Linked DNA regions of Macaca fascicularis. The protein of the gene in region 1 purifies or fractionates together with the protein of each later gene. This does not show direct contact. Links are inferred from orthologs where the notes say so. Each region holds a gene or a part of one and is shown in the gene's direction. Other genes may lie near its edges. The genes, in order: MAGEA10, KAT2A, QSER1, FAM216A and FOXJ2.

Evidence for each region.
Region 2: the proteins of MAGEA10 (region 1) and KAT2A purify together in Homo sapiens (affinity purification with mass spectrometry; 3 studies listed by BioGRID and IntAct, counting the BioPlex papers as one, with this or other methods). This does not show direct contact. The link is inferred for Macaca fascicularis from reciprocal best matches to the Homo sapiens genes MAGEA10 and KAT2A.
Region 3: the proteins of MAGEA10 (region 1) and QSER1 purify together in Homo sapiens (affinity purification with mass spectrometry; 3 studies listed by BioGRID and IntAct, counting the BioPlex papers as one, with this or other methods). This does not show direct contact. The link is inferred for Macaca fascicularis from reciprocal best matches to the Homo sapiens genes MAGEA10 and QSER1.
Region 4: the proteins of MAGEA10 (region 1) and FAM216A purify together in Homo sapiens (affinity purification with mass spectrometry; 3 studies listed by BioGRID and IntAct, counting the BioPlex papers as one, with this or other methods). This does not show direct contact. The link is inferred for Macaca fascicularis from reciprocal best matches to the Homo sapiens genes MAGEA10 and FAM216A.
Region 5: the proteins of MAGEA10 (region 1) and FOXJ2 purify together in Homo sapiens (affinity purification with mass spectrometry; 3 studies listed by BioGRID and IntAct, counting the BioPlex papers as one, with this or other methods). This does not show direct contact. The link is inferred for Macaca fascicularis from reciprocal best matches to the Homo sapiens genes MAGEA10 and FOXJ2.

The regions. Positions count from the first base shown.
Region 1 is NC_088395.1:158,207,701-158,213,836, reverse strand, and holds MAGEA10 (melanoma-associated antigen 10), read left to right. Parts: upstream 1-2,694; 5' UTR 2,695-2,753; coding exon 2,754-3,866; 3' UTR 3,867-5,161; downstream 5,162-6,136. UniProt on the Homo sapiens protein: Not known, though may play a role in embryonal development and tumor transformation or aspects of tumor progression.
Region 2 is NC_088390.1:63,155,699-63,161,168, reverse strand, and holds the end of KAT2A (histone acetyltransferase KAT2A), read left to right. Parts: intron 1-146; coding exon 147-257; intron 258-1,983; coding exon 1,984-2,127; intron 2,128-2,415; coding exon 2,416-2,530; intron 2,531-2,625; coding exon 2,626-2,662; intron 2,663-2,742; coding exon 2,743-2,806; intron 2,807-2,940; coding exon 2,941-3,025; intron 3,026-3,182; coding exon 3,183-3,376; 3' UTR 3,377-3,898; downstream 3,899-5,470. Other genes in the region: ATP-dependent RNA helicase DHX58, read left to right, coding at 5,145-5,312. UniProt on the Homo sapiens protein: Protein lysine acyltransferase that can act as a acetyltransferase, glutaryltransferase, succinyltransferase or malonyltransferase, depending on the context.
Region 3 is NC_088388.1:32,649,879-32,655,517, reverse strand, and holds part of QSER1 (glutamine and serine-rich protein 1), read left to right. Parts: intron 1-447; coding exon 448-4,137; intron 4,138-5,639. UniProt on the Homo sapiens protein: Plays an essential role in the protection and maintenance of transcriptional and developmental programs.
Region 4 is NC_088385.1:117,362,878-117,367,622, forward strand, and holds the end of FAM216A (protein FAM216A), read left to right. Parts: intron 1-276; coding exon 277-359; intron 360-2,690; coding exon 2,691-2,809; 3' UTR 2,810-3,057; downstream 3,058-4,745.
Region 5 is NC_088385.1:12,675,270-12,681,696, reverse strand, and holds the start of FOXJ2 (forkhead box protein J2), read left to right. Parts: upstream 1-2,912; 5' UTR 2,913-4,045; intron 4,046-4,278; 5' UTR 4,279-4,378; intron 4,379-6,427.

The DNA.
Region 1 (6,136 bases):
GGACCACCTGAGGGCAGACTTCTCAGGCTGGGTTGTCACTCCCCACCCCCGCCCCCACTCTCTCTCGCCGCTTAAGCCGCAGGGGACTCTGGGAGTCAGAGCTTGGTGTGACCAGGGCAGGGCTGGGAGCCACCCCTAGGTTCTGCCAGCATCAAAGTCAGGACGCTTAGAGAGGGCTCTGCCCCTGATATCAGCCCTGGGAAGCCCCGGTCATGGCGACCAGGAATGCAAATTCTGACGTCGGTATCTGGGGCTGACGGAGGGAAAGGGATATTGGTACCAAGAATGTGGCTTCAGGGGAGCAGAGGGTGGGCCCAGACCCTGCTGGGAAATGAGGGAGTCATGAAGGGATCCCAGGACAGGGTGCCCACCCCACCCCTGTCTCAGACTGAGATGCCTCCTCACTTGGCCTCAGGAATCCAAGGGATGGTGACTCAGGTCAGCGGCGGGGGGGCGGGGTAGAGGAGAGCAACCCTGCCAAGAGCCAAGGGGAGGAAGAAGAGAGAGGACTCAAGGGACCTTGGAGTCCAGATCAGTGGGGACCTCAGCCCTGGGCGGTTTCAAGCACGGTGGCCCATGTGATGTGTCTTTGCTGTGCCTTTGGGGTGTCAATGAGGAGAGGGCTACAGTCTGAGGAATGAAGCCTCAGGTCATCAGAGGGAGGAGTCCCAGAGCCCTGAGGGAGGACTCAGCAGATCCCCGCATCTCAGAACTAGGAAATCTGTCCCTCCTATCAGCTCTGGAACCTCAGGCAGGACTCTGAGGAAGGGAAGTGGCCCCCACTTTCTCACTGGGGATCCCAGGGACATGGTAGCCTTGGCGTACAAGACTCATACACGGTTCAGCAGGAGGGAAAGGGCTGGGCCCTGTCGGGAGTAAATCTGAATTTATTTGGGAGGACACCCAAATAAAGAAAGTCTCCATCCCGTCCCCCTCCCCTCTCCACTCCCCCCCGCCAAATCTCCTCCTTCTGTCAGCTTTGGGAATCCCATGCAGGTGTCAACGTGTGGTGCCCCTCCTCCATTTCTGCCTCCCGGGTCTCAGGGTGATGAGGACCTTGGTCTGAGGGTTGCTGAGAAGTTATCACAAGGTTCCACACTTGGTCAACAGAAGGAGGAGTTCCAGAATCTGCAGGACCCAAGGTGTGCCCCTTAGTGAGGACTGGAGGTACCTGCAGCCCAGAAAGAAGGGATGCCACAGAGTCTGGCTGTCCCCTATTCTTAGCTCTGAGGGGACCTGATCAGGATTGACACTAAGTGGCAAGCTCAATTTTGCCACAGGCAGGAAGTTGAGGAACCCTCAGGGAAATGGAGTCTTGGTGTAAAGGGGAGATATCCGCCCTGGACACCCCACAGGGGTGACAGGATGTGGCTCCTTCTTATTTTTGTTTTGGAATCTCAGGGAGGTGAGAACCTTGCTCTCAGAGGGTGACTGAAGTCAACACAGGGAGCCCCTCTTTTCTACAGACACAGTGAGTCGCAGGATCTGACAAGAGTCCAGGTAAGGAACCTGAGGGAAATTTGAGGATATCCCCAGCCCATAACACAGATAGGGGCCCCACAGAAATCTGCCATGACCCTACTGTCACTCTGGAGAACCTAGTCAGGGCAGTCTGCTGAGGCACCCTGTCTTATACAAGGATCACTGGTCTCTGGGAGGGGGAGGTGTTGGTCTAAGGGAGCTGCACTCGGGTCAGCAGAGGGAGGGTCCCAGACCCTGCCAGGAGTCAAGGTGAGTACTGAGGGGACACCATTCTCCAAACGCACAGGACTCAGCCCCACCCTGCCCCTCCGTCAGCCACGGGAATTCACAGGGAACTGTGGGTAGATGGACTCCCCTCACTTCCTCTTTCCATGTCTCCTGGAGATAGGGCCTTGGTTTAAGGAAGTGGCCTCAGGTCCACAAAGGGAGGGTCCCAGGTCCTATCAGGCATCAAGATGAAGACCAAGCAGGCTCCTAACCCCAGGACACATGGACCCAGCTGAATATGGCCACCTTTTGCTGTCTTTTCTGGGAGGACCTCCGCAGTTGTGACCAGATGTGGGTCCCCTCATGTCTTCTATTTTGTATTAGGATGTAAACTTTTGATCTGAGAGTTTCTTAGACCAGCAAAGGGGCAGGGTCCAGGCTTCTCCAGGAGAAAGGTGAGAGCCCCTGTATGAGCACAGAGGGGACTACCCACCCCAGAGTAGTGCGGAACTCACAGAGTCCAGCCCACCCTCCTGACAACACTGGGAGGCTGGGGCTGTGCTTGCAGCCTGAACTCTGAGGGTCCCTCAGTTCCTCTTCCAGGAGCTCCAGAGACTGTGAGGTGAGGCCTTGGTCTAAGGCGGTGTTTTCAGGTCACAGAGCAGAGAGGGCCCAGACAGTGCCAGGAGTCAAGGTGAGGTGCATGCCCTGAATGTGTACCAAGGGCCCCACCTGCTCCAGAACAAAGTGGACCCCACTGCATCAACTCCAGCTACCCTACTGTCTGTCCTGGAGCCTTGGCCTCTGCTGGCTGCATCCTGAGGGAGCCATCTCTCACTTCCTTCCTCAGGTTATCAGGGGACAGGGAGACCAAGAGGTCAAGAGCTGTGGGACACCACAGAGCAGCACTGAAAGAGAAGACCTGTAAGTTGGCCTTTGTTAGAACCTCCAGAGTGTGGTTCTCAGCTGTGGCCACTTACACCCTCTCTCTCTCCCCAGGCCTGTGGGTCCCCATCGCTCAACTCCTGCCCACTCTCCCACCTGCTACCCTGATCAGAGTCATCATGCCTCGAGCTCCAAAGCGTCAGCGCTGCATGCCTGAAGAAGACCTTCAATCCCAAAGTGAGACACAGGGCCTCGAGGGTGCACAGGCTCCCCCAGCTGTGGAGGAGGATGCTTCATCATCCACTTCCACCAGCTCCTCTTTTCCATCCTCTTTTCCCTCCTCCTCCTCTTCCTCCTCCTCCTCCTCCTGCTATCCTCTAATACCAAGCACCCCAGAAGAGGTTTCTGCTGATGAAGGGACACCAAATCCTCCCCAGAGTGCTCAGATAGCCTGCTCCTCTCCCTCAGTCATTGCCTCCCTTCCATTAGACCAATCTGATGAGGGCTTCGGCAGCCAAAAGGAGGAGAGTCCAAGCACCCTACAGGCCCTGCCAGACAATGAGTCTTTACCCAGAAGTGAGATAGATGAAAAGGTGACTGATTTGGTGGAGTTCCTGCTCTCCAAGTATCAAACGAAGGAGCCGATCACAAAGGCAGAAATACTGGAGAGTGTCATAAAAAATTATGAAGAACACTTCCCCGTGGTGTTCAGTGAAGCCTCCGAGTGCATGCTGCTGGTCTTTGGCATTGATGTAAAAGAACTGGACCCCACTGGCCACTCCTTTGTCCTTGTCACCTCCCTGGGCCTCACCTATGATGGGATGCTGAGTGATGTCCAGAGCATGCCCAAGACTGGCATTCTCATACTTATCCTAAGCATAATCTTCATAGAGGGCTACTGCACCCCTGAGGAGGTCATCTGGGAAGCACTGAATATGATGGGACTGTATGATGGGATGGAGCACTTCATTTATGGGGAGCCCAGGAAGCTGCTCACCCAAGATTGGGTGCAGGAAAACTACCTGGAATACCGGCAGGTGCCTGGCAGTGATCCTGCACGGTATGAGTTCCTGTGGGGTCCAAGGGCCCATGCTGAAATTAGGAAGATGAGTCTCCTGAAATTTTTGGCCAAGGTAAATGGGAGTGATCCCAGATCCTTCCCACTGTGGTATGAGGAGGCTTTGAAAGATGAGGAAGAGAGAGCCCAAGCTAGAATTGCCACCACAGATGATACTACTGCCATGGCCAGTGCAAGTTCTAGTACTACAGGCAGCTTCTCCTACCCTGAATAAAGTAAGACAGATTCTTCACTGTGTTTTAAAAGGCACGTCAAATACCACATGATCTCACTCATATGTGGAATAAAAAAAAAAAAGTTGATATCGTGGAAGTAGAGAGTAGAACAGTAGTTACCAGAGATTGGGGAGAGGAAGGAGAAGAGGGGCTTGGAAGCAGTTAGCCAACATGGAAAATTACATTTAAACAGGAGGAATAAATTCTAGTGTTCTGTTGCGCAGTAGGATGACTATAGTTAACATTAAGATATTGTATATTACAAAATAGCTAAAAGGAAGGCTTTTCAATATTGTCACCACAAAGAAGTGATAAACGCATGAGGTGATGGATACACTACCTGATTTGATCATTATACTACATATACATGAATCAGAACATCAAATTTTACCTCATAAATATCTACAATTGCATGTCAGTTTTTTGTTTTTGTTTTTTTTAATTTACGAAAACAAATGACAAGAGAAATCAATGAAGTATGTAGTGGAGGGCCAGGCTGAGGCTGAGGAAAATACAGTGCATAACATCTTTGTCTTACTGTTCTCTTTGGATAACTTGAGAACTTCTTTTCTTTTCTTCTTGGTATTTCTTCTTCTTCCGCTTCCTCTTCCTCCTTCTCTTCTCTCTTCCCTTCTCTTCTCTTCTCTTCTCTTCTCTTCTCTTCTCTTCTCTTCTCTCTTCTCTCTTCTCTCTTCTCTCTCCTTCTCCTTCTTCTTTTTTTTCTTTTTTTTTTTTTTTAACAGAGTCTCACTCTATTGCCCCGGCAGGAGTGCCCGGGCAGTCTAAGCTCACTGCAACTTCCGCCTCCTGGGTCCTGGGTTCAAGCGATTCTCCTGCCTCAGTCTCCTGAGTAGCTGGGATTACAGGTGCATGCCACCATACCTGGCTACTTTTTGTATTTTTTAGTAGAGATGAGGTTTCACCATGTTGGCCAGGCTGGTCTCGAACTCCTGACCTCAGGTAATTCGTCCGCCTCAGCCTCCCAAAATGCTGGGATAACAGGTGTAAGCCACTGCACCCAGCCTCTTCTTGGTATTTTAAAATGTTGTTACTTTTACTAGAGAGTTTATGAGCTTCAGAATCTAAGGTCACACATTTATTTCTGTTTATCCAGTTTAAGAAAGAGTTTTGCTATTCTTTAAACAAATTGGGAACCCTTCGATCTTATTTGTAATCTGTAATAAAATAACATGGAACTAGAATAGTAATTTTCTTGGACATATAAAAAATAGTAAAATAGAGAAAATAATGTTAAGTGTTAGTATTTTTATTTGTTTATTATTTTTATTTTATCGTCCTGCAAAGTTAAAAGTTATATCCCTGGATCTTTGTTAAGTCGAAATTAAACTGTAATAAATGAAACCTTTGCTCACTGGTTCATTTTTTTCCCCAAACATCCACTGAGCATCTGGTCTTTGGAAGGCCCTGGGTCTGTAGTGGAAATGTTAAATCAGAACCACCTTTACCCATAGGGTGGTAGAGTCTAGGGGCTACAGTCAAGTAATAAGGTGGTGAGATATCCTCTAAGACCTAGAGGAAAAGTAAGACAGGGATGAGAATATTGGGCTGTAGGTGACAGTGGTCACGTACATCTCCTGAGCCAGGACTTTTGGGGCTTTGAGAAACTGCAGTTCCTTCTGGTGAAGATGAATCCAAAGAAGCTGGGTGGTGCCAGGGTCAGAGCCTCACATAGTTGAGAGAGAAAATCCTGGGATGTAAAACTGCTCTGAGCAGTTCCTTTTGGGTGGTGGATGAACAGAGAAGAGTCCACCTGGGGCAGGAATGGAAGGTGTTCTGCACTCTTGTCTCAGTGCAGTTGAACATAGCACAATAACTAGGTGATAGATGCTCATCTTATGCAAGGGTCTCCTGAGAGATAAGGATCTCATAATAAATAAGCCTATGAATTGATGCCTAGAAGTTAGCTGACTCCATTAGAGAAACATTTTAATTGGGTCATTTTTTATGTAATTTGTACAACACTAAGCAAGGGCTAGAATTTGGTGACGAAATGAATGAAAATCATGATTTGGATGGAAAAGAACCTTGGAGAGAGGGAAGGAGTTGATACTTGAATCATATTCCATGAGCTTTGAGCAGCATCCAGCAGGGAGAAACTCCTGCACATGAAATTTTGAAAATACATCCTCTTAAGAGGGAAAATTTACAGAGTTTTATTTATGAAGCAACATTTGTGACTGATTTGGGATTCCATGTCCCATTGAGCTGCATATTCTGAGATGTACTGGATAATAATGACAACAAAAAA
Region 2 (5,470 bases), on another chromosome or scaffold:
GTCAGCTGCCTTTCTTTCTCTTTGCCTGGATGCTCTCCCTTTCCCCACCTCCTTTCCAATCCACCCGCTCCACTCTGGGCTCTGAGACCTCTCCAGCACCAGGCCCATCCTCAGCTCCTGGTGAGTCCTGCTCCCCTCCCCCACAGGGTTATGGGACCCACCTGATGAACCACCTGAAGGAGTATCATATCAAGCACAACATTCTCTACTTCCTCACCTACGCGGACGAGTACGCCATCGGCTACTTCAAAAAGCAGGTGACCCGTAGCCTTATCCCACACTGGTCCTTTGCCTGAAGCCTGGGGTCATTCTGTCCAGCCCCTCTGTTGATGGAGTAGGAGTCCCTTTATGTCCCCTACTTCACCTGACACCTGCCAGGAAAGTCTCCATGCCTATCTTCTTTCCTCTGCTGCCACTGCCCCAGGGGAGAATGGGGGCCTATGGGGCCAGTAGAGCAGGCTGGAGGAACTGGGGGGCCAGTAGAGCAGGCTGGAGGAATTGGGGGGCCAGTAGAGCAGCCTGGAGGAACTGGGGGACCAGTAGAGAAGGCCGGAGGAACTGGGGGCCAGTAGAGCAGGCTGGAGGAACTGGGGGGCCAGTAGAGCAGGCTGGAGGAACTGGGGGGCCAGTAGAGCAGGCCGGAGGAACTGGGGGGCCGGTAGAGCAGGCCGGAGGAACTGGGGGGCCGGTAGAGCAGGCCGGAGGAACTGGGGGGCCGGTAGAGCAGCCTGGAGGAACTGGGGGACCAGTAGAGCAGCCTGGAGGAACTGGGGGGGCCAGTAGAGCAGGCTGGAGGAACTGGGGGGCCAGTAGAGCAGGCTGGAAGAACTGGGGGGCCAGTAGAGAAGGCCAGAGGAACTGGGGAGCCAGAGCAGGCTGGAAGAACTGGGGGGGCCAGTAGAGCAGGCTGGAGGAACTGGGGGGCCAGTAGAGAAGGCCAGAGGAACTGGGGAGTCAGAGCAGGCTGGAGGAACTGGGGGGCCAGTAGAGCAGCCTGGAGGAACTGGGGGGCCAGTAGAGCAGGCTGGAGGAACTGGGGGGCCAGTAGAGAAGGCCGGAGGAACTGGGGAGCCAGTAGAGCAGGCCGGAGGAACTGGGGGGCCAGTAGAGCAGGCCGGAGGAACTGGGGGGCCAGTAGAGCAGGCCGGAGGAACTGGGGGGCCAGTAGAGCAGCCTGGAGGAACTGGGGGGCCAGTAGAGCAGCCTGGAGGAACTGGGGGGCCAGTAGAGCAGCCTGGAGGAACTGGGGGGGCCAGTAGAGAAGGCCGGAGGAACTGGGGGCCAGTAGAGCAGGCTGGAGGAACTGGGGGGCCAGTAGAGCAGGCTGGAGGAATTGGGGGGCCAGTAGAGCAGGCTGGAGGAACTGGGGGGCCAGTAGAGAAGGCCAGAGGAACTGGGGAGTCAGAGCAGGCCGGAGGAACTGGGGGGCCAGTAGAGCAGCCTGGAGGAACTGGGGGGCCAGTAGAGCAGGCTGGAGGAACTGGGGGGCCAGTAGAGAAGGCCGGAGGAACTGGGGGCCAGTAGAGCAGGCTGGAGGAACTGGGGGGCCAGTAGAGTGGCCTGGAGGAACTGGGGGGCCAGTAGAGCAGCCTGGAGGAACTGGGGGGACCAGTAGAGCAAGCTGGAGGAACTGGGGGGCCAGTAGAGCAAGCTGGAGGAACTGGGGGGCCAGTAGAGAAGGCCAGAGGAACTGGGGAGCCAGTAGAGCAGGCTGGAGGAACTGGGGGGCCAGTAGAGCAGCCTGGAGGAACTGGGGGGCCAGTAGAGCAGCCTGAAGGAACTGGGGGGCTCTTCGGGATGAGTCAGGAGTGGGCAGCTGACCTGGGACCTTTCCAGGGACAGTTCAAACCCTCAGTGCCCCAGGAGGAGGTTCAGGAGCAGGAGGTGTCACATGGCACGTGCCACCCCTCTGGTGCTCCCAGGGGAGGGACTACAGAAGTTGGGAAATATGGATGGACTGGGTCATGACCATCCACCCCCCAGGGTTTCTCCAAGGACATCAAGGTGCCCAAAAGCCGATACCTGGGCTACATCAAGGACTACGAGGGAGCGACACTGATGGAGTGTGAGCTGAATCCCCGCATCCCCTACACAGAGCTGTCCCACATCATCAAGAAGCAGAAAGAGGTGGTGTGCGCACGTGCGCATCTGTGGGAGTTTTCATGAATGTGCATGCGGAGGGCGAGCGCACGTGTGTAGACCTGTACTACGTGTACATGCGTGTATGTGTGTGAGTGAGGAGGGGACAGGCCAGGATCTTGGTTCTTGCTCTGCTCCCTTGGGGAAGGTATGAAGGGAGGTGCTGGATTAGGTGGCATTGCATCTGGGTGGGTGCAGCTGGTGGCTCTGACTGTGGCCCTGGGAGGGGTTGTTGCTGGGGCTGGAGCTGGCCCCTTAGACCCTTCCTTCCCTCAGATCATCAAGAAGCTGATTGAGCGCAAACAGGCCCAGATCCGCAAGGTCTACCCGGGGCTCAGCTGCTTCAAGGAGGGAGTGAGGCAGATCCCTGTGGAGAGTGTCCCTGGCATTCGTAAGCAGAGGTCTCGGTTGCGGGGTAGTGGGGGCACGCTGCTTGGGATGCGGATCGGCATTCTTAGAGACATTCTCCCACTTCCCACTTTGCAGGAGAGACGGGCTGGAAGCCATTGGGGAAGGAGAAGGGGTGAGTGTTTTGTCAAAGGAGCCAGGTTGGGGGCGGGGCAGAGGGACTCGGAGCCTCAGACTTGGTGTGTCTCGCCCCAGGAAGGAGCTGAAGGACCCCGACCAGCTCTACACAACCCTCAAAAACCTGCTGGCCCAAATCAAGGTGGGGAGACCAGGTTGCCTTTCCGGGGCCCCTGCACCAATGGCTGTGGCCTCTTGATGCAGTGTGAGGTGGGTGGCGTTCTCGGGCTGGCGTGGGTGCAGCAGGGCTGTCCCCAGCTCGGCTCTTCTCTCCAGTCGCACCCCAGTGCCTGGCCCTTCATGGAGCCTGTGAAGAAGTCGGAGGCCCCTGACTACTACGAGGTCATCCGCTTCCCCATTGGTGAGGACCCTCCATTCCATCTCCTTCCCCCCTCTTCCATCCCCATACCTGCTCCTGCCCTCACTGCGCCCTGCAGCCCCATGGGGCCCACCCCGGTGGACAGCCCTGCCGTGGTCCTCAGCCTCTTAAAGCTGTGCTCCGCCTCCTGCTGCCCCAGACCTGAAGACCATGACTGAGCGGCTGCGAAGCCGCTACTATGTGACCCGGAAGCTCTTTGTGGCCGACCTGCAGCGGGTCATCGCCAACTGCCGTGAGTACAACCCCCCGGACAGCGAGTACTGCCGCTGCGCCAGCGCCCTGGAGAAGTTCTTCTACTTCAAGCTCAAGGAAGGAGGGCTCATTGACAAGTAGGCCCAGCTTTGGGCCACAGCCCTGACCTTGAATGTCTCCACCTCGGATTCTGATCTGATCCTTAGGGGATGCCCTGGCCCCACGGACCCAACTCAGCTTGAGACACTCTAGCCAAGGGCCCTCCGGCCCCTGATCCTGCATCCCTTTCTGGACCTTCAGGCACCCCCAAGCCTGCAGCTCTGTCCCAGCCTTCACTGTGTGTGAGAGGTTTCCTGGGTTGGGGCCCAGTCCCTCTAGAGTGGCTGGTGGGACGGGATGAACCTTGCCCAGCCGTGGTGGCCCCCAGACCTGGTCCCTAACAGCTTTGGAGGCTTGGATTCCCAGGTGGCTATTTCCCTGAGGACCAGGACTGCTCATTTTAGCTTGAGTGATGGCTTCAGGGATTGGAAGTTCAGTCCAAACTGGAGGGGGCCATGCCTTGTCCGGTACTGTACTGTCAGTCTCCCCCGGGGTGGGGATATGGGGACCATTCATTCCCTGGCATTAATCCCTTAGAGGGAACAATAAAGCTTTTTATTTCTCTGTGTGATTGTTTCTTTGGTATAGTCCCAGCCTTAGCAGGCTCACCTTGGCCCCCCAGGGACCTCTTGCAAACTGGAGGCTGCTCTCCCCAGCAAGCCTCAGACCTGGTCCTGTGCTACACTTGCCCCCTGCGCAGCCCAGGTCTCACCTGCTCTAGTCGGGCAGACCTACCTGGCTGCAGCCCCCCACCTCTTCCCTCCTCCAGGCTGCTCCTGATCCAGATGCCAGGGCAGCAGGGGTCAGAACCTCCTGACTTAACCTTAACTTGGGTGGACGTGGTTACAACTGACCGCAAAAGGGCCAAAGCATAGAGGATCCCGTAGCAGTGAAAGAGTGCTTCCCTGTTAGCACACATGGGGCTTTTTCTCGGGCAGGGATGGGAGATTCCTAAATCGGCTCAGCTGGCTCCTCCCCTCAGTTTCAGTTTCCATTTCCGATTTCTGCTGTCTGCGCTGAGCACAGCGGCACCAGGCTGAGCTAAACAGGGCCGCCCTGGGCAGGCCTACCTGGTGGTGCAGGTGAGACCTGGGCTGGGCAGGGGGCAGGTGTAGCCTGTGTTACTCCCACCCCCACCTTTTGGCCAGAGCAGTCTCCTGAAGGGTTTTGAGGGTGTCCTCCCCCACCTCCCTCAAGTGTGGTGGAGTCCTGGGCAAAGGGAGGTCTCTGTACCGACCAGTCTGGCCAGGAGTTGGGATGAATGGAGGGGCCAGTGGGTCTGAGTCCCCGGCCATTCCCAGAATGGAGCTGTGGCCCTACCAATGGGAGGTGATCATGCCTGCCACGGCGCTGGCGCAGCGGCAGTACTCGTCCCGGAGTTTGTACTCGCGGCAGTTGGCGATGACTGTTAGCACAAACGGTTCTTTTTTATTGGTTCTTTTTCCCGGGGCGGGGATGGGAGATTCCTAAGTCGGCTCAGCTGGCTCCTTCCCTCAGTTTCAGTTTCCATTTCGGGTCTCTGAGCTGAGCACAGTAGCACTAGGCTGAATTAAGTGGGACTGCCCTGGGCAGACCTACCGACTAGAGCAGGTGAGACCTGGGCTGGGCAGGGGGCAGGTGTAGCCTGTGTTACTCCCGCCTCCCGCTTTTGGGCAGAGCAGAGTCCTGATGGGTTCTGAGGGAGTCCTGCCCCACCTCCTTCAAGTGGGGTGGAGTCCTGGGCAAAGGGAGGTCTCTGCACGAACTGGTCTGGCCAGGAGTTGGGAGGGGTGGAGGGGCCGGTGGGTCTGAGTCCCCTGCTATTCCCAGAATGGAGCTGCGGCCCTACCAGTGGGAGGTGATCATGCCTGCCCTGGAGGGCAAAAATATCATCATCTGGCTGCCCACGGGGGCTGGGAAGACCCGGGCGGCTGCTTATGTGGCCAAGCGGCACCTAGAGACTGTGGATGGCGCCAAGGTGGTTGTATTGGTCAACAGGGTGAGTGGTCTGTCCCTGCCCCACTCCCCCACCACCAAGCAGGGTCTCAGCTCTTCAGGCATCTCTCAGTCCCCGCCAGAACTCCAAAGCTGCTGTGGCCATCCCTAAGCTCACCTGTCTTTCCACCCCGGCTCAGTACCCAGCCATGCCCTGCGGGT
Region 3 (5,639 bases), on another chromosome or scaffold:
CTGGGCAACAGAGTAAGACCTTGTCTCTTTTTTTTCTTTTTTTTTTGAGACGGAGTCTCGCTCTGTCGCCCAGGCTGGAGTGCAGTGGCCAGATCTCAGCTCACTGCAAGCTCCGCCTCCCGGGTTTACGCCATTCTCTTGCCTCAGCCTCCCGAGTAACTGGGACTACAGGCGCCCGCCACCTCGCCTGGCTAGTTTTTGTATATTTTAGTAGAGATGGGGTTTCACCGTGAAGACCTTGTCTCTTAAGAAAAAAAAAAAAAGAGGATGGGAGTGGGAAGCTAGCTATTTTGAAATGTAATTTCAAAATTTACATGTAGAACTTACTGGTCAAGTTTTTCAGTCTTAAGACATTTTAATGGGTTATGTAAGTCACTACTATGAAAACATATATTAAAGTAATTGTTATCATAATTACATAAAAATCTTTGTGCCTTTTCTTTATAGGCATGCATTCTTCAGCAGCAACTGAGCTGTTTGCTACTGGACCTTTGCCAAGCACTGGAACACTTCCACCATCTCTCTCTGCTTATCAACATCCCACCACCTTCAGCAATAGAAACTTTGCTACCACTTCACCTTTGGTGCTTCAGGATTCAACTTTTAACACTACATCAAATGGAATTTTAAGTCATCATGACCCTTTGCTACAAATCAAGACTTCCCAGGGAACTGTTCCAACTGCTTTGGCATTTGAGCGCCTGGGCAGTTCTGTATTAAGTAACAGCATACCACCTCAGTCTTCAACATACCGCTCAGCTCAAGAGTCTGCACCCCATCTTTTACAACCTCAATTTAGTTTGTTGCCTTCAGCACTTGGGGGAGCCCAGCAGACTCCTCAAGCCTACAGTTCAACTCTCTTTACTAGTTCTACTGCTTCCATTGAAAGAGCTCTTCTTCGAGAATGTAGTGTTATCAAACACCATCAGCGGCCTTCAGGTACCCAGTCAATTCAGGCACAACTGACTGGTTCACAGCACTCCTTACATAGTTATCTATCAAATTCAAGTGTAGTTAATTTTCAGGAAACAACCAGGCAGTCTTTATCCTGTAGCCCAATTGGAGATTCCACTCAGGTGAGCAATGGAGGATTACAACAGAAGACCTCCCAGGTCTCAGTGGAACTTGCTCAGTCTTACTCATCTGCAATTCCATCATCAGGGTATCCTCCTTCTACTACAAAAGTAAAAAGCTGTTCTACAGAACAACCACTAACATCAACCAAGACCCCTAAACCTCAAAGTATAATTCCTCCTGTGCAAACACTAAGCTATTCCAAACCTTTACATAACCAGAGTTCTGTAATATCGGGCCAAGCACAAATTTATTCTACTGCGCAGCTACCAAGCCTTTTATCAGTCAGTCAGTCCCAAAATTATGGTTTAGTACAGCCACATAATGTGCCATCTATTGTTCATTCACAGGTTTATAGGTCCAGCAAGGTTGAAAAATTGCCACCCTTGTATAAAACATTGACTTTTTCTGGGTCATCTCAGACTATAACTCCTGAAAATCAGACGCTTAGTTATTCATCTAATCAGCAAGAGGTATTGTCTTCAGTTACAAATGAGAATTACCCTGCTCAAACAAGAGATCTGTCTTCAGTCAGTCAGTCTCAAAGTTACTCATCTGGTCATTCTCAGGGTTTATCACCAGTTAGCCAGACACAGGTTAGCTATTCATCTCAATCACAAGTTTTGTCAGTTGTTAGTCCTTCAGAAAGCTATGCTTCAGGGGAGTCCCTAACATTAACAGCCCCTTCTCTTTCTTATTCTTCTGCCTCTCGGGCTCAGAATTTGCCAGACTCTAGCCCGACCCAGAATTATATTTCTATGCATTCTTCTCAAAATGTTCAGACTCAAGAGTCATCATCTCCCCAGTCCCAGAAGTTTTTGCCTGGTGTCCAGTCATCATCTTTTGCATCCTCTACTCATTGTCAGACATTACAAAATAACATAACCTCCCCTGACCCAAAGTCTTATGCTGAAAGAAAGCTTGACTCAGATGTGTATACATCTTCAAAGCAAGAAGATGGTTTTCCAATGCAAGAGTTACAGGTATTGCAGCCACAAGCATCTCTTGAGTCGTCAACCCAAAGGCTATCTGATGGGGAAATTAATGCTCAAGAATCAACTTATAAGGTGTCAAAGGCAGATGACAGATATTCTCAGAGTGTAATCAGAAGTAATTCCCGTCTTGAAGATCAAGTTATTGGGGTTGCTCTACAAGCGTCAAAGAAAGAAGAAAGCGTTGTTAGTTCAGTGACACAGCTTAACCAACAAATTGGCCAAGTCAGTAATGCAGCTACCCTTGATCTTAAGAATGCAACTAATTTAATACAGACTCCACAAATAAGGTTGAATACTAAAGACTTAAAGCAGCAGCATCCTCTTGTACTTAAGGTGCATGAATCCAAGGTCCAGGAACAGCACAATCAAATAATTAATGCTTCATCTCAGATTCAAATTCCAAATCATGCTTTAGGGCATGGCCATCAGGCATCTCTTCCTAATACACAGGTCCTTTTAGATTCTGCCTGTGATTTACAGATTCTTCAGCAGTCAATACTGCAGGCAGGTTTAGGTCAAGTAAAGGCATCTTTACAAGCACAGCGTGTTCAAAGCCCTCAACAAATAGTACATCCTTTCCTTCAGATGGAAGGTCATGTTATTCAAAGCAATGGTGATCATTCTCAGCAGCAACTCCATCCTCAAAATTCTGAAGTTATGAAAATGGACCTCTCTGAGTCTTCAAAACCGTTACAACAACATCTAACAACAAAGGGCCATTTTAGTGAAACAAATCAACATGACTCAAAGAATCAGTTTGTTTCTCTTGGATCGATGTGTTTCCCAGAGGCAGTGCTTCTTAGTGATGAAAGAAATATTTTATCAAATGTAGATGATATCTTAGCAGCTACAGCAGCAGCTTGTGGAGTTACACCTTCTGAATTTTCCAAGTCAACTTCAAATGAAACCATGCAGGCTGTTGAAGATGGTGATTCTAAATCTCATTTTCAGCAGTCGTTAGATGTCAGGCATGTGACTTCAGATTTTAACTCTATGACAGCTACAGTAGGAAAGCCACAGAATATAAATGATACTTCCTTAAATGGAAATCAGGTTACTGTGAACCTTTCACCAGTACCTGCCCTTCAGACAAAAATGACTCTTGATCAACAGCACATTGAAACACCTGGTCAAAATATACCAACTAAAGTAACTTCAGCAGCGGTTGGACCAAGTCATGAAGTCCAGGAGCAAAGTTCTGGCCCATTCAAGAAACAGTCTGCTACCAATCTTGAATCTGAAGAAGACAGTGAAATTCCTGTTGATAGTACATTAAATAATAACAGAAACCAAGAGTTTGTTTCTAGTAGTAGAAGTATAAGTGGAGAGAGTGCTACATCAGAGAGTGAATTTACCTTAGGGGGTGAGGACAGTGGTGTGTCAATGAACCCAGCTAGGAGTGCACTTGCACTGTTGGCCATGGCCCAATCTGGGGATGCAGTCAGTGTCAAGATTGAAGAAGAAAACCAAGATTTAATGCATTTTAACCTTCAAAAGAAAAGAACTAAAGGAAAAGGGCAAGTTAAAGAGGAAGACAATAGTAATCAGAAACAGCTGAAAAGACCTGCCCAAGGCAAACGCCAGAATCCAAGGGGAACAGATATATACTTACCATATACTCCTCCTTCCTCAGAAAGCTGCCATGATGGTTATCAGCATCAAGAAAAAATGAGACAGAAGATCAAAGAGGTGGAGGAGAAACAACCAGAAGTCAAAACAGGATTTATTGCGTCTTTCTTAGATTTCCTGAAATCTGGGCCCAAGCAGCAGTTTTCCACTCTTGCTGTACGAATGCCTAACAGGACTAGACGGCCAGGGACCCAGATGGTTCGTACATTTTGTCCCCCACCACTTCCCAAGCCTTCATCTACAACACCCACACCTTCAGTGTCTGAAACTGGCGGTAACAGTCCATCAGATAAAGTTGATAATGAACTTAAAAACTTGGAACATTTATCTTCATTTTCTTCTGATGAAGATGATCCTGGATGTAGTCAAGATGCTTATAAAAGCATCTCTACTCCCTTAACTACTTTGGATGCTACTTCTGATAAAAAGAAGAAAACAGGTAAAGTTTTAAAATTTAGATTCATAATTATTACTTTCTTCTTTTTCGGGCTATAGCTCACATTTAAGCTTTTTTCACTTAAAGCAGGTCTGCAAGTATATTTTCAGGACAAAATGTATAGGTAGGTATCTTAAGGACTTTTTAAAAAAAATTTTCTTGCCTATAGGAAAGGTCTGGGTTTTAGGTTAAGTAGTTCTGATTTTTCTTGGCTTTTTGCCAAAGGCAGCATAATCTGTACAGTGTGCCATCCAGATTTCTCTAATCTGAGACATTGTGAGGTAATTGAGGCACTGTATCGTGGGTATTGCTGTAGTATAAACCTGATACATTTTCTTAGTTTGCCAATTTTATCTGAAGATTAACATTTTAGTATTAAATATGGTTATGTTTAAATATGTTGCAGTAGTCCAAGTGACAAATGAGACAGATGAGACAACAGGGATGTTACAGAGTTAAAATCTGAACCATTAAATATGGTTATATGCAGCATGCGTATAATAATTAAGATAAAATTTAAAAATTTTGTGCTGGCTCCAGATTATATACCCAAATCTTTGGGTATGTGTTTCACTTGACTCTGTGGCTAAGGGAGCTTTAGAGGAAATATTTTAAGAAGCATTGACTTTATATAAACAATTGGCAGTAAGTATGGAATTTTCTATTGTAAGAAACATGCCAAGGAAAAATTTATTTGTAACAATAATACAACTGCCACCTCTGTGCCAGGAACTAGTAGCAATGTTGTGAGATACACATTGTTATCTCCAATATACAGATGATATAACTGAGAATAAATGAATTATGTGGGCCCATACCCCTAGTAAGTGACAGAGCTGGAATCTGAACCCAGGTTTGTCTGGTTCTAGAGCCCACATTCTTTCTCAGCTCTTTAGGATAAATAGGGTGGTGCTTGAAGACTTAAACTTTGTTTTGTAACATACTTCCCAGCTTCTCTCTGGACTTGACTACCTTTAACTTCTAAAGTGTTACGTGACAACTGGTATCCAAATAATCTGTTAGCATAAATATCTGATAATACATTTCTAAAGAATTCTCATTTCATTACACAGGGAAATTAACATGATAGAAAGTCAGTCTTAGATTCAAAGACATTACTACCATGTCTAATCCTAGTACGGTTTTATAACGTCTCCCCCAATTCAGAGTGCTTTGCAATCACTATTCTATTCCCTCTTACATTCCCAGAATAAACCTTTTGTAATCTCGGTTCTAAAACATGAGTCTAAAACTAGTTTCTTCCAGACATATGTTATCTCATTTTTAGTTAAAATCATCACTGTCAACCCAATCCTTACTATTATGTCTTCGAAGTTCTCTTATCACCATCCCTGTTGCCTCATCTGAAAAAAGCTATCATTTGTCATGTGGACTACTGTAACTGACTACTCATTACAAACATTTTTTCTTTTTTTATTATTTTAAGAGACAGAGTCTTGCTCTGTCACCCAGGCTGGAGTACAGTGGTGTGATATTGGCTCACT
Region 4 (4,745 bases), on another chromosome or scaffold:
ATGCAAATACTTTTAAAAGGAGAAGCATATGGTTGGTTTTGCACAGGGGAATACTATATAACAGGGAGAGAAAGAAGATTAAGAAGCATGAGTATTGAAATTGCACTGCAGCAGCTTTACATGTCAGGGTTAAGAAATTACAGGATAATTTGGGTGCTGAAAGGGTTTGTTTTGGTGATGTTGGCAGTTAATAAAATGAATTTGTGTGGTCTTCCACATGCCCTAGGCAGCTGTTCACTTTGCTGGCTTCAACTAAGATACTTCCCTTTCTTATAGGATAAAAACTGGATATGCATCTAAAACAAGATGTAAGTCACTGAAGATTTTTAGAAGACCAAGGAAACTGTTCATGCAAACAGGTAAATGTGGAAATTTAACAATATGCATTTTTTAAGATCTTATGGGCCGGGCGCAGTGGCTCAAGCCTGTAATCCCAGCACTTTGGGAGGCCGAGACGGGCGGATCACGAGGTCAGGAGATTGAGACCATCCTGGCTAACACGGTGAAACCCCGTCTCTACTAAAAAATACAAAAAAAAAAACTAGCCGGACGAGGTGGCGGGTGCCTGTAGTCCCAGCTACTCGGGAGGCTGAGGCAGGAGAATGGCATAAACCCGGGAGGCGGAGCTTGCAGTGAGCTGAGATCCGGCCACTGCACTCCAGCCTGGACCACAAAGCGAGACTCCGTCTCAAAAAAAAAAAAAAAAAAAGATCTTATGCTTAAAAATACTATACCAAATACAATTTCATTTCTATTATGAAGATATTAACAAATTTAGAATATGATTTGCTTTTATTGTCACAAATAAAAAACCAAACATAAAATATAGTTTACACTTGCAATTAAAAGAACATACTGGGCTGGGCGCCACGGCTCACGCCTGTAATCCCAGCACTTCGGGAGGCCGAGGCAGGCAGATCACCTGAGGTTAGGAGTTCGAGACCCGCCTGGCCTGGCGAAATTCCCATCTCTACTAAAAATACAAAACTTAGCTGGACGTGATGGCAGGCGCCTGTAATCCCAGCTACTCAGGAGACTGAGGCAGGAGAATCGCTTGAACCTGGGAGGCAGAGGTGGGAGTAAGCCGAGATGGTGCCATTGCACTCCAGCCTTGGTGACACAGTGAGACACCATCTCAAAAAAAAAAAGAAAAAAAGAACATACTGCTCAAAGGAGTAAGATTCAAGGTATTTCTAATGCTAAAGATATTTACAATGTCAAGGTCAGAGACTTAGTAGAGAATGAATTTGTCAGAACCCAGAACCACAAACATGACTTTCTCAAGCAATAGCACTTCTTTTATGAGTTAGTGCTATTTTTTGATGAACAGCATATTTTGTATAGCATCTATTAGTTTACAAAGGGCTATATCTCTTATAGTAGGCCCTTCTTATCCATGGGGAATATGTTCCAAGACCCCCAGTGGATGGCTAAAATCTTGGATACTACTGAACCCTATATATACTTTGTTATTTCCTGTAAATACATATCTCTGATAAAGTTTTAATAGGCATATAGATTAACAACAATAAATAGAACAATTTTATACCAATATACTGTAATAAAAGTTATGTGAATGTGGTCTCTCTCAAAATATCTTATACTGTACCTTGGAAAGCAAAACTGTGGATAAGGAGGGACTTCTGTATACCATTTTGTTTGATATTCAACAAAACAGTGGAGGCAAGCCAAGCAGGTGATATTATCAAAATTTTACAGCTGCAACTCAAACAAATCCAGACTTTGGAAGGATCAGCATAAAAGATCCTTCTACCACAAGAACAAAATACTGCAAAATGAAAAAGGGAAGACAGACTGAATGATCAGAAGTGTTCCTAAGAACTAATAATGTTAAACCATGTTAAGTAGTTTCCTAGTTATCAGCATAGTGAAGTAGGGAGGTGGGTAAGAAGTAGGGAAGTTGGCCAGGCACAGTGGCTCACGCCTGTAATCTCAGCACTTGGGAGTCCAAGGCCGGCAGATCACCTGAGGTCAGGAGTTCGAGACCAACCTGACCAACATGGAGAAACCCCATCTCTACTAAAAACACAAAATTAGCCGGGCGTGGTAGCACATGCCTGTAATCCCAGCTACTCAGGAGGCTGAGGCAGGAGAATGGCATGAACCCGGGAGGCGGAGCTTACAGTGAGCTGAGATTGCGCCACTGCACTCCAGTCTCCAAAAAAAACCCCAAAAAACAACAAAACAGAAGTAGGGAAGTTAGGCCTTCTGAATTGATATCCTATCACTGTATGAGTGTTAGCCAGCTCTGCTGTAAATATCGTACCATGCCTATCCAAGAAATGAGGGAAAGGGCAGGTTCCAAAAGGAACAGTTAGTGGAAACTGTAGGGGGAAAGTCCCTGTGGTCCCCAGCGCAAGAGAAAATGCGGAGATTCTGAAGATGTAACTGACCACTTTAATTTCCCCCAACCAAAAGATTTTGAAAATCAATGCTAATATAGGACTTAGTAACAAGAGAATTTGCTGTACAGTAACTTGGTTAGAATACAGTACTGTGCATCTTAAAGAGTAAGAAACTTGGGGGAAGGGTGAGGTGACTAAAAGCCTTGAAAATTTCAGTCAATTTGTCTTTACTACAGGCTTATTAATAAGCCACGTCATTTTGAAAGTTGTACTTAGAGCTTTATTTCCAAAACAGAAAATTGTACATTCTTATTTTTCCTTCAGTTTCTTCAAATGATTCTGAATCATACATGAGTGAAGAAAAAAAGGAAGAAGATTTACTAAATAAGTTTATGCAATCAATGTCAATTGAAGAACAGGGAGAACATCTGATGTTAACTTGACAGTCTTGTCTTGTGTATTGAATTCGTACCAAAGGTGAGGGTAAGGGGTTGTGGGTTGTGTCCTGTATGTTTAGGATGGTATTGTTATTCATTAAATCATTAAGTAATTTTGGTTTGTTCAGAAACTTAAAACAATGTAATTGGTCTGATGTAGTTCCATGTACCAATGATATTTATGTAAGAAAATTTACATGTAACATATACTTGTACTTCTAGCTAGATACAATTAAAATTTTTCTTGCATTCAATATTGAATTACTTTTCTTTAAATCTGACAAATGCATCATATTTCTCTGTTCACAGTCCTAAAACAGCAATATTAGAATATCCTACAAGGGCCAGGTGTGGTGGCTCATGCCTGTAATCCCAGCACTCTGGGAGGCTGAGGCGGGTGGATCATGAGGTCAGAAGTTTGAGACCAGTCTGGCCAACATGGTGAAACCCCGTCTCTACTGAAAATACAAAAATTAGCTGGGCATGGTGGTGCGTGTCTATAGTCCCAGCTACTTGGGAGGTTGAGGCAGAAGAATTAGAATTGCTTGAACCCAGAGGCGGAGGCTGCAGTGAACTGAGATCACACCACTGCACTCCAGCCTGGCAACAGAGTGAGACTCCGTCTCAAAAAAAAAAAGAAAAAATAGAATATCCTACCAGTATTTTCTTGATTGGGCTAAGGAAAGCTCTGAAATATCCAGATACAGAACAGCATTTGACAGAGATAATGCTCTGACTTGCAAAGTAGGTGCTCAATAAATATTTGCTATTTGAATACAACTTTAAAATGTAAATACACATTTTCCCTATCTTATGAAATTGCCACATAAATAACTTGGACTCTCAGACTAGATTAAGTTGGGAGTAGTTACACTAACTTCTTTACATTATATATTACTCTAGTGTGCTTCCTTGCTAAACTTGTATATATATATATATATTTTTTTTTTTTTTTGAGACGGAGTTACGCTGTTGTTGACCAGGCTGGAGTGCAATGGTGTGATCTCGGCTCACTGCAGCCTCCACCTCCAGGATTCAAGTGATTCTTTTTTTTTTTTTTTTTTTTTTTTTTTTTGAGACGGAGTGTCGCTCTGTCGCCCAGGCTGGAGTGCAGTGGCGCGATCTCGGCTCACTGCAAGCTCCGCCTCCCGGGTTCACGCCATTCTCCTGCCTCAGCCTCCTGAGTAGCTGGGACTACAGGCGCCCGCCACCTCGCCCGGCTAGTTTTTTGTACTTTTTAGTAGAGACGGGGTTTCACCGGGTTAGCCAGGATGGTCTTGATCTTCTAACCTCGTGATCCACCCGTCTCGGCCTCCCAAAGTGCTGGGATTACAGGCTTGAGCCACCGCGCCCGGCCAGGATTCAAGTGATTCTACTGCCTCAGCCTCCCGAGTAGCTGGGATTACAGGCATGTACCACCATGCCTGGCTAATTCTGTATTTTTTGTATAGACAGGATTTCACCATGTTGGCCAGGCTGGTCTCGAGCTCCTGACCTCAGGTGATCCACCTGCCTCAGCCTCCCAAAGTGCTGGGATTAGGGTGTGAGCCACTGTGCCCGGCCCCTAAACTTGTATTGTTAAAACTTTTATTAAACCTTGAAAAATGGAAATAAGAACAGTTTGAAGAATCACTGTTAATTTAATGTCAATATGGTATATTATTTAGCAAATAAAATCTGAGTCCAACATTATGACACAATATAAGAGAAGAGCTCTGAAAGGTCATCTCGTCCACTTCACTTTAATATTTATATGCGTAGTTTCACTTGGTTCCTCATTTTTATGTTTTTTAAAATTAAATACAGGTTATCAAGAAAGTATAAATGAAAGGTAATTGTTTATTACTAGAGAAGAAAAAAATGTATACAAGATAGTCTAGATTCTTTCTCCACATGCACTACTTTTGGAATAAAGTTCCAAATATCAACTTTGAAGATATTT
Region 5 (6,427 bases), on another chromosome or scaffold:
TGGCTAACACGGCGAAACCCCGTCTCTACTAAAAACACAAAAAAATTAGTCGGGCGAGGTGGCGGCGCCTGTGGTCCCAGCTACTCGGGAGGCTGAGCCAGGAGAATGGCGGGAACCCGGGAGGCGGAGCTTGCAGTGAGCTGAGATCTGGCCACTGCACTCCAGCCTGGGCGACAGAGCGAGACTCCGTCTCAAAAAAAAAAAAAAAAAAAAAAAAAAAGTAAAACAACTTCACTCACTACCTTTCAGAGATAAATATAATTATTCTCGTAAATGCTAAATAGTACTCTGTTGTACAGATGTGCCATAATATATTTAAAATCACCCCATTTTGGATATTTAGGTCTTTTCTAATTTTCCAGTTACAAAAAATACTGCAGAAAATGTCTTGTAAAAACCAAATAATTTCTTGAGCTTTTTATTTTTCCAAATTGCAGAAAGATTCTAATCTTTCCCTTATGTTTCCATTTTTAGTATTTCTGCCTGTCACTCAAGCAATTTGCATACATAGGAAATGTCAAAAACGGTTGAAACATAACAAAACATCCAACATGTAGCAAGAAAGATTTGCCGCCAAATTATCTGCGTGTGGGAGAATCATTTAATGCCTCAAAGAGGGGAAAAAATAAATCTTTAAACCTGAATATAGGAAGTGTGAGGAGGAGGAAAAGGCTTGGTTTGGTTTACTGCCTTTAATTTTGAGGATGACTTTAAATTCTGATGGCTCCGAACAATGGTATAGAGGTTAAGAGCTGGGCATTGGAGTCATTTGGATTTAAGTACTGACTTTGCTACTTACTAATTAAGTGAACTCACACATAGTATCTGGAAGTCACAATTTTCTCATCTGTAAAATAAGTATAATAATAGTGTTTTAGGAAATTGCTGGAATCATCAATGTGATAACGCACGCAGAATGATCAGTGCAATGCCTGGCATATTATAAATATCATTATTAATATATACATATAACTTAAGTATGCGGTCTTTGGCGGGCAATTCAAATATTTTGCAAGTAATATTTTTGTATTCTTATTATCTTTTTTTTTTTTTTTGAGACGGTGTCTCACTCTGTCTCCCAGGCTGGAGTGCAGTGGCAAGATCTCAGCTCACTGCAACCTCCGCTTCCCGGTTTCAAGTGATTCTCCTGCCTCGGCCTCCCGAGTGGCTGGGATTGCAGGCACGCGCCACCATGCCCGGCTAATTCCTTTTTTTTTTTTTTTTTGAGACGGAATCTGGCTCCGTCTCCCAGGCTGGAGTGCAGTATCGCGGTCTCGGCTCACTGCAACCTCCGCTTCCCGGGTTCAAGCGATTCTCCTGCCTCAGCCGGGACTACAGGCGTCCGCCACCACGCTTGGCTAATTTTTGTATTTTTGGTAGAGACGAGGGTTTCACCATATTGACCAGGCTGGTCTAGAACTCCTGACCTTGTAATCCGCCCGCCTTGGCCTCCCAAAGTGCTGGGATTACAGTCATGAGCCGCCGCGCCCGGCCTTCGGCTAATTTTTGTATTTTTAGTAGAGACAGGGGTTTCACCACGTTGGCCAGGCTGGTCTCCAGTTCTTGACTTCAAGTGATCCCCTGGCCTGGGCCTCCCAAAGTGTTGGAATTACAGGCGTGAGCCACCGCGCCGGGTCTCCTATTATTTTATGTGATATAAAGTAGAGAGCAGGCCGGGGCCGTGTTTCCTGCCTGTAATCCCAGCACTTTGGAGGCCTAAAACGGTAGAATAGTTTAAACCCAGGAATTAAAGACCAGCCTGGGCAGTATACTGAGACCCCGTCTGTATTTAAAAAAAAAAAAAAAAAAAAAAAAAAAAGAAAGGAAAGAAAGTAGGGTAGTTTGACAAAAGTTTAAAAAGCCAGGGTATGGGCCAGGCGCAGTGACTCACGCCCGTAATCCCAGCACTTTGGGAGCCCGAGGCGAACGGATCACGAGGTCAGGAGTTCGAGACCAGCCAGGCCAACATGGAGAAACCCCATCTCTACTAAAAATACAAAAATTAGCTGGGCGTGGTGGCGCGCGCCTGTAATCTCAGCTACTCCAGAGGCTGAGGCAGGAGAATCACTTGAACCCAGGAGGCGTAGGATGCAGTGGGCCGAGATAGCGCCATTGCACGCGGGATCGCGCCATTGCACTCCAGCCTGGGCAATAAGAGTTAAACTCCGTCTCAAATAAAAAAAAAAAAAAAGCCAGAGTATGAAATATATAAGAATTTGCAGCAGAATAATGTGACTCCAGGATGTGACAGCTGTAAAGGGTAAGCAGGCCGAATATCAAGTTCCCTTCTTCGCTGAGCAAGATTGCAGAGAACAAGGGCCATGCACAAGTTTACGAAGCTGGAACAAGGTACAGGACCCAGATCTTCTGATGTTTATTTCACCGTTACACGCTCATTTATCATGTATCCACTCATTCAAGGAGCATTTACTAAATTCCAGGATGATATAAGGGTAACATATAAACTTCACCCCAATCTTCAACTCAATGCTCATGATCCTTTATAAATTATCTCGAGGGAAAGAGAAGCCCATCAAAGACAGTCCTGAGAAAGCTGGGGCTGTTCATCTGTATTCGGAGTTTAACAATGAAACGCCGGGGTCGGGGTGTCGGCTGGAATTGATGGTGTACGGTGCGCACGAGGGAATCTCCCGACGGGGAGCAGTGAGTTGTCATCCCGGGTAGACAGCGAGCTCCCGGAGCCACGCGGCCGCAGCGGGGCTAGGGCTGCGAGACCCCTCGCCGGCATGAGCGCAGCCGTGGCTTTCCAGGCGGAGTGCACACCGGACGGCGCGGCTCGCGGCTCGCGGCTCGGCGCCGCCCGGCTCCTCCTTAACCCGCGCCGGGAGGCGGTGGCGGCGGCGGCCGGCGGGCGGGGGAGGGGGAGGGGCTCGGAGCGCGGCGCGGAGGCCGGGGAGGAGCCGGGGCCTGCAGCGGAGCCGAGCCGAGCCCGAGCCCGCGCCGAGCCCTGACACTGTCCGTCCGCCTTCTGGCTCCCCGGGAGCCCGGACTGGCCGGAGCCCGAGCGGTGGCAGCGCTGGGAGCCCCAAGCACCGAAGGGAGCGGACCGGACAGGACGGCCCTAGAGGAGGTGCTGCCGCCACAGTAGCAGGGACCGGAGTCTCCAGCCGCGGCCTCCCGGACCGTGCTGCCCAGGCCAGCTCAGGGAGAGCCGGGAGTACGAAAGCCCCACCCTCTGGGGCACCCCGGGAGCGGAGGCGGGAGCGGGGACGCGAGCAACCTCTCCCCCTGTTGGAGAGAAAAGACCCTTACCACTCGGGTGAGGGAAAGAAGAGACCCGTGGGGGGACGCCGCTCTTCTGCCTAGAGGCGAGGAAGACCCCTGTACTGGCCGGGGAGGAGACCCCCAGAAGTGGAAAGAGGGGAGCTTTCCGCAGAGAAGCAGAGTGAGACCACCCTAGCGCGCCCCCGCCCCTCCAAACACACAATCTCAACAGTTCAGGACTTTGGAGGCAAAGAGAGAGAGGGCTCTGCCTATGGAGTAGCACCCTCGGCCCACCAATATTCACAGGGGACAGGAGTCCTTACGTTCAGAAGCCACTCCAGGGAAAGAAGAGGAATCGGCTTTCAGCCTTCTGGAGAGGGGAGGCCTCCCCCTCAACTTCCTCGTGCCTAGACAGTGGAACGGGGTAGAGCCCCTCCGCTCAGATCTCCAGCAGACAGAAAGAGCCCTCCAACTCAGAAAGATCCAGTTTGGGGGGGAGGGGAACTCCCCCAAGGGGGAGGAGACAACTCCTGGTTGGGAGAGGCTCCTCCCCTCCTCCCCAGGGTAACAAGCAGGGTGTGGGGGGTGTGCCACCTTCCCCAAGTAGGACCTCCTTCTCCTCCCCCTCCCCCTCCTCCTCCCTTGGCTCCTCATCCTCAGGGGACCAAGTTCCCCTCACCAACTTGGGAGGCTCAGCCAAGTACAGGAAGAGCCACTGAGGATGAGCGCCGTCACCTGTCTCTGAAGAGGGGAATCCCTCCAGCCCCAAACTCCAGTACCAAGTGCTTCCCTCCCTTTGCCAGGGGAACCTTGGAGACAGGTTAGTGCTTTCTTTCATCTTCTCTCTGTCATCGTCTGGCACTAGTGGGTGTACGGGGTTGAGCTGGTGGATCGTGGGTTTCACTACCGGGGAAGACAAGAGTGATGACTCAGAAAATCCAGTGGGAAATGTGATCCAAGGGCCTCCTGGATTTGAACTCACATCTTGCGGCAGAAGCTCGGAGAAATGGGTTTCTTAGTGTTTGGGGACTAAAGGGATGGGATTCATTTTAGGTCCCTTAGGGAAGTGGATGTTTTCATGCTGAGGAAAAGGGATATCGGAAAACGGCTGCGTTTTGAGAACGTGCATGCTGTGTACACAACCCAACCAGTGGTAAGACTCCCAGACCGCCCTTCACGTTGGGCCTTTGCACCTGGAGAGCGGGTTCTCATGAAAATCACGGTGGCATCTGGTGTCCTGGCCTTGCCCAGGGCACGCCGAGGTCAGCTTAGTGTTCACCAGAGGTGTTCCCTCCAGCTTACTGCAATTACTGCTCCCTTGACAAGAAAAGCAGTCTGTTCCTGCTCATCCTATCTCAGACACCAAGAGGCCTCCTCTCCTGACATTTCCATTGCTAGCTGGATGTATGCCTCTGCCCATAAAATCCAAAGGGAAAATGGGAATCCCACATGTTCTGAGGCGAGAAGAAAGTGTGCAGGGGAATGCCAGCTCCTGGGTTGAAGTGCTTCCTTGATGCTGGCCCTGTACCACTGCCCCAGTCTCCTTCTCAGCTCCTGTTTTTTGCTCACAATTCTTCAGGAAAAATTAGATCCTGGATACGAAGGGAGGAGGGCTGCTGCTCCACTTCTCTCCAGATTTCCATCTAAACAAGTTGACCACTGGAGAAATTTCACTTTTGAGGAGTATATAAAGTTTCCTTCCAGAAAAGTACCTAATAGTCTCATCCTCTCCCTTCCTGTTTCTTGTTCAGTTCTGAGTTCCCGGAACCTTGTGTTAAAGTTTTCCTTCATAAGCTAGGGAATTATCAAAGTCCAGAATCTTCAGAAAAGGCAGGAAAAGGGTACCAGGAAATCCTCCCCTGAAGCCTGGGCTGTTTTTAGGAGAGATCACTAGCTGGGTGTCTGCTTTCCTGCCTCGCCATGAGCAGATACCTTATCTTCTGTCTCACAGCAAGGACAAGTTGTGAAGGAGGCTTCATCTGACTTGGCCTTTCATATTTCCTCCTCTTTCTGGGGCATGGGTGAGTTCTACCTAAGTTCCTGAGCACATTCACTTGTCCTGGAAGCTACTGGTGGTATATGAGATAGGGCACAGGTTTGCGTGGCTGTGCTGTAGGACAACATGCATATACTTCTTAATTCAGGTGAGTGTGGCTCTCTCTGTTTCCAGTGGGTAAGTGTGTGGAGACAGGTGCTTACTGTGCTTTTCAGACTATACTCCAGTTACCTAGAATTGTGTGTTTCTGGTGGGCCTCTAGAAGCAGGTGCCCCTGTACACGGACATGGAGAGGTGGTAAGGATGCCCACCTGAGGGGAAAGGCTTGGCCTCCCCCAGCCAGTGGGAGCCCTCATGACAGTCTACAGGACAGTCCTTTAAGCAGCAGGGCAGCCCAGTCTCAGGTTGGGATCATTTCTTCTAGGACTAATAAGAGAGCTTCATTGCTGATACTGCTGCTTGCAAAAGGATGAGGATCCTTGACTCCTAACTCCGGAGCTCCCTCCCCTACCTTTTACAAAAGAGGCCACTCTGGTTAACAGCAGCCTGTTTCTTATAAAGTACTTCACCACCTGCCTGAATGGCTCAGGGTGAACTATATCACAACACCTCCAAGTCCGCCACCGCCACACAGTTTAACTGGTCCTGTTTGGACTGAGTTCCCTAACCCTCCTTGCCTCTCTGGAATCAGTTAGAAGTAGGTGGCTACTGAGTGGGATTAACTGTGGTTTAGAGAGTACTTTCCCAGACCATGTCTTAGGACTACACTTAGTTCTCCCTGGAAGATAAGAGATGATAGTCCCTCATTCCTTCATCCCTGGAGTCTTCCTGATCCTCGCATTATCTAGTACTGGGTGGTTATCTCCAAAGGAAAAGTTTGAGATTCCGACATCCTGAAAAGCATTGCAGACTCAGTGCAGGCTTTGTGATGCAAACCACTGCAGGCTTGCTGCTTCCACTCCCATCTAGAGTCTGTCAGTTTGCTAATTTTTAATTTCTAATATTCTCATTTTTCCCCATTCAAAAACAATAGCTACATTTATTTAGCACTTACAGAGTGCTCTGAAAATATGAACTCAAGGTAATCCTTACAACAATCAAACTAGTGGAGCTGGGGATTGAAACTCAGGCAGCTTGACCAGGCGCGGTGGCTCACGCCTGTAATCCCAGCACTTTGGGAGGCCGAGGCGGGCAGATCATCTGAGG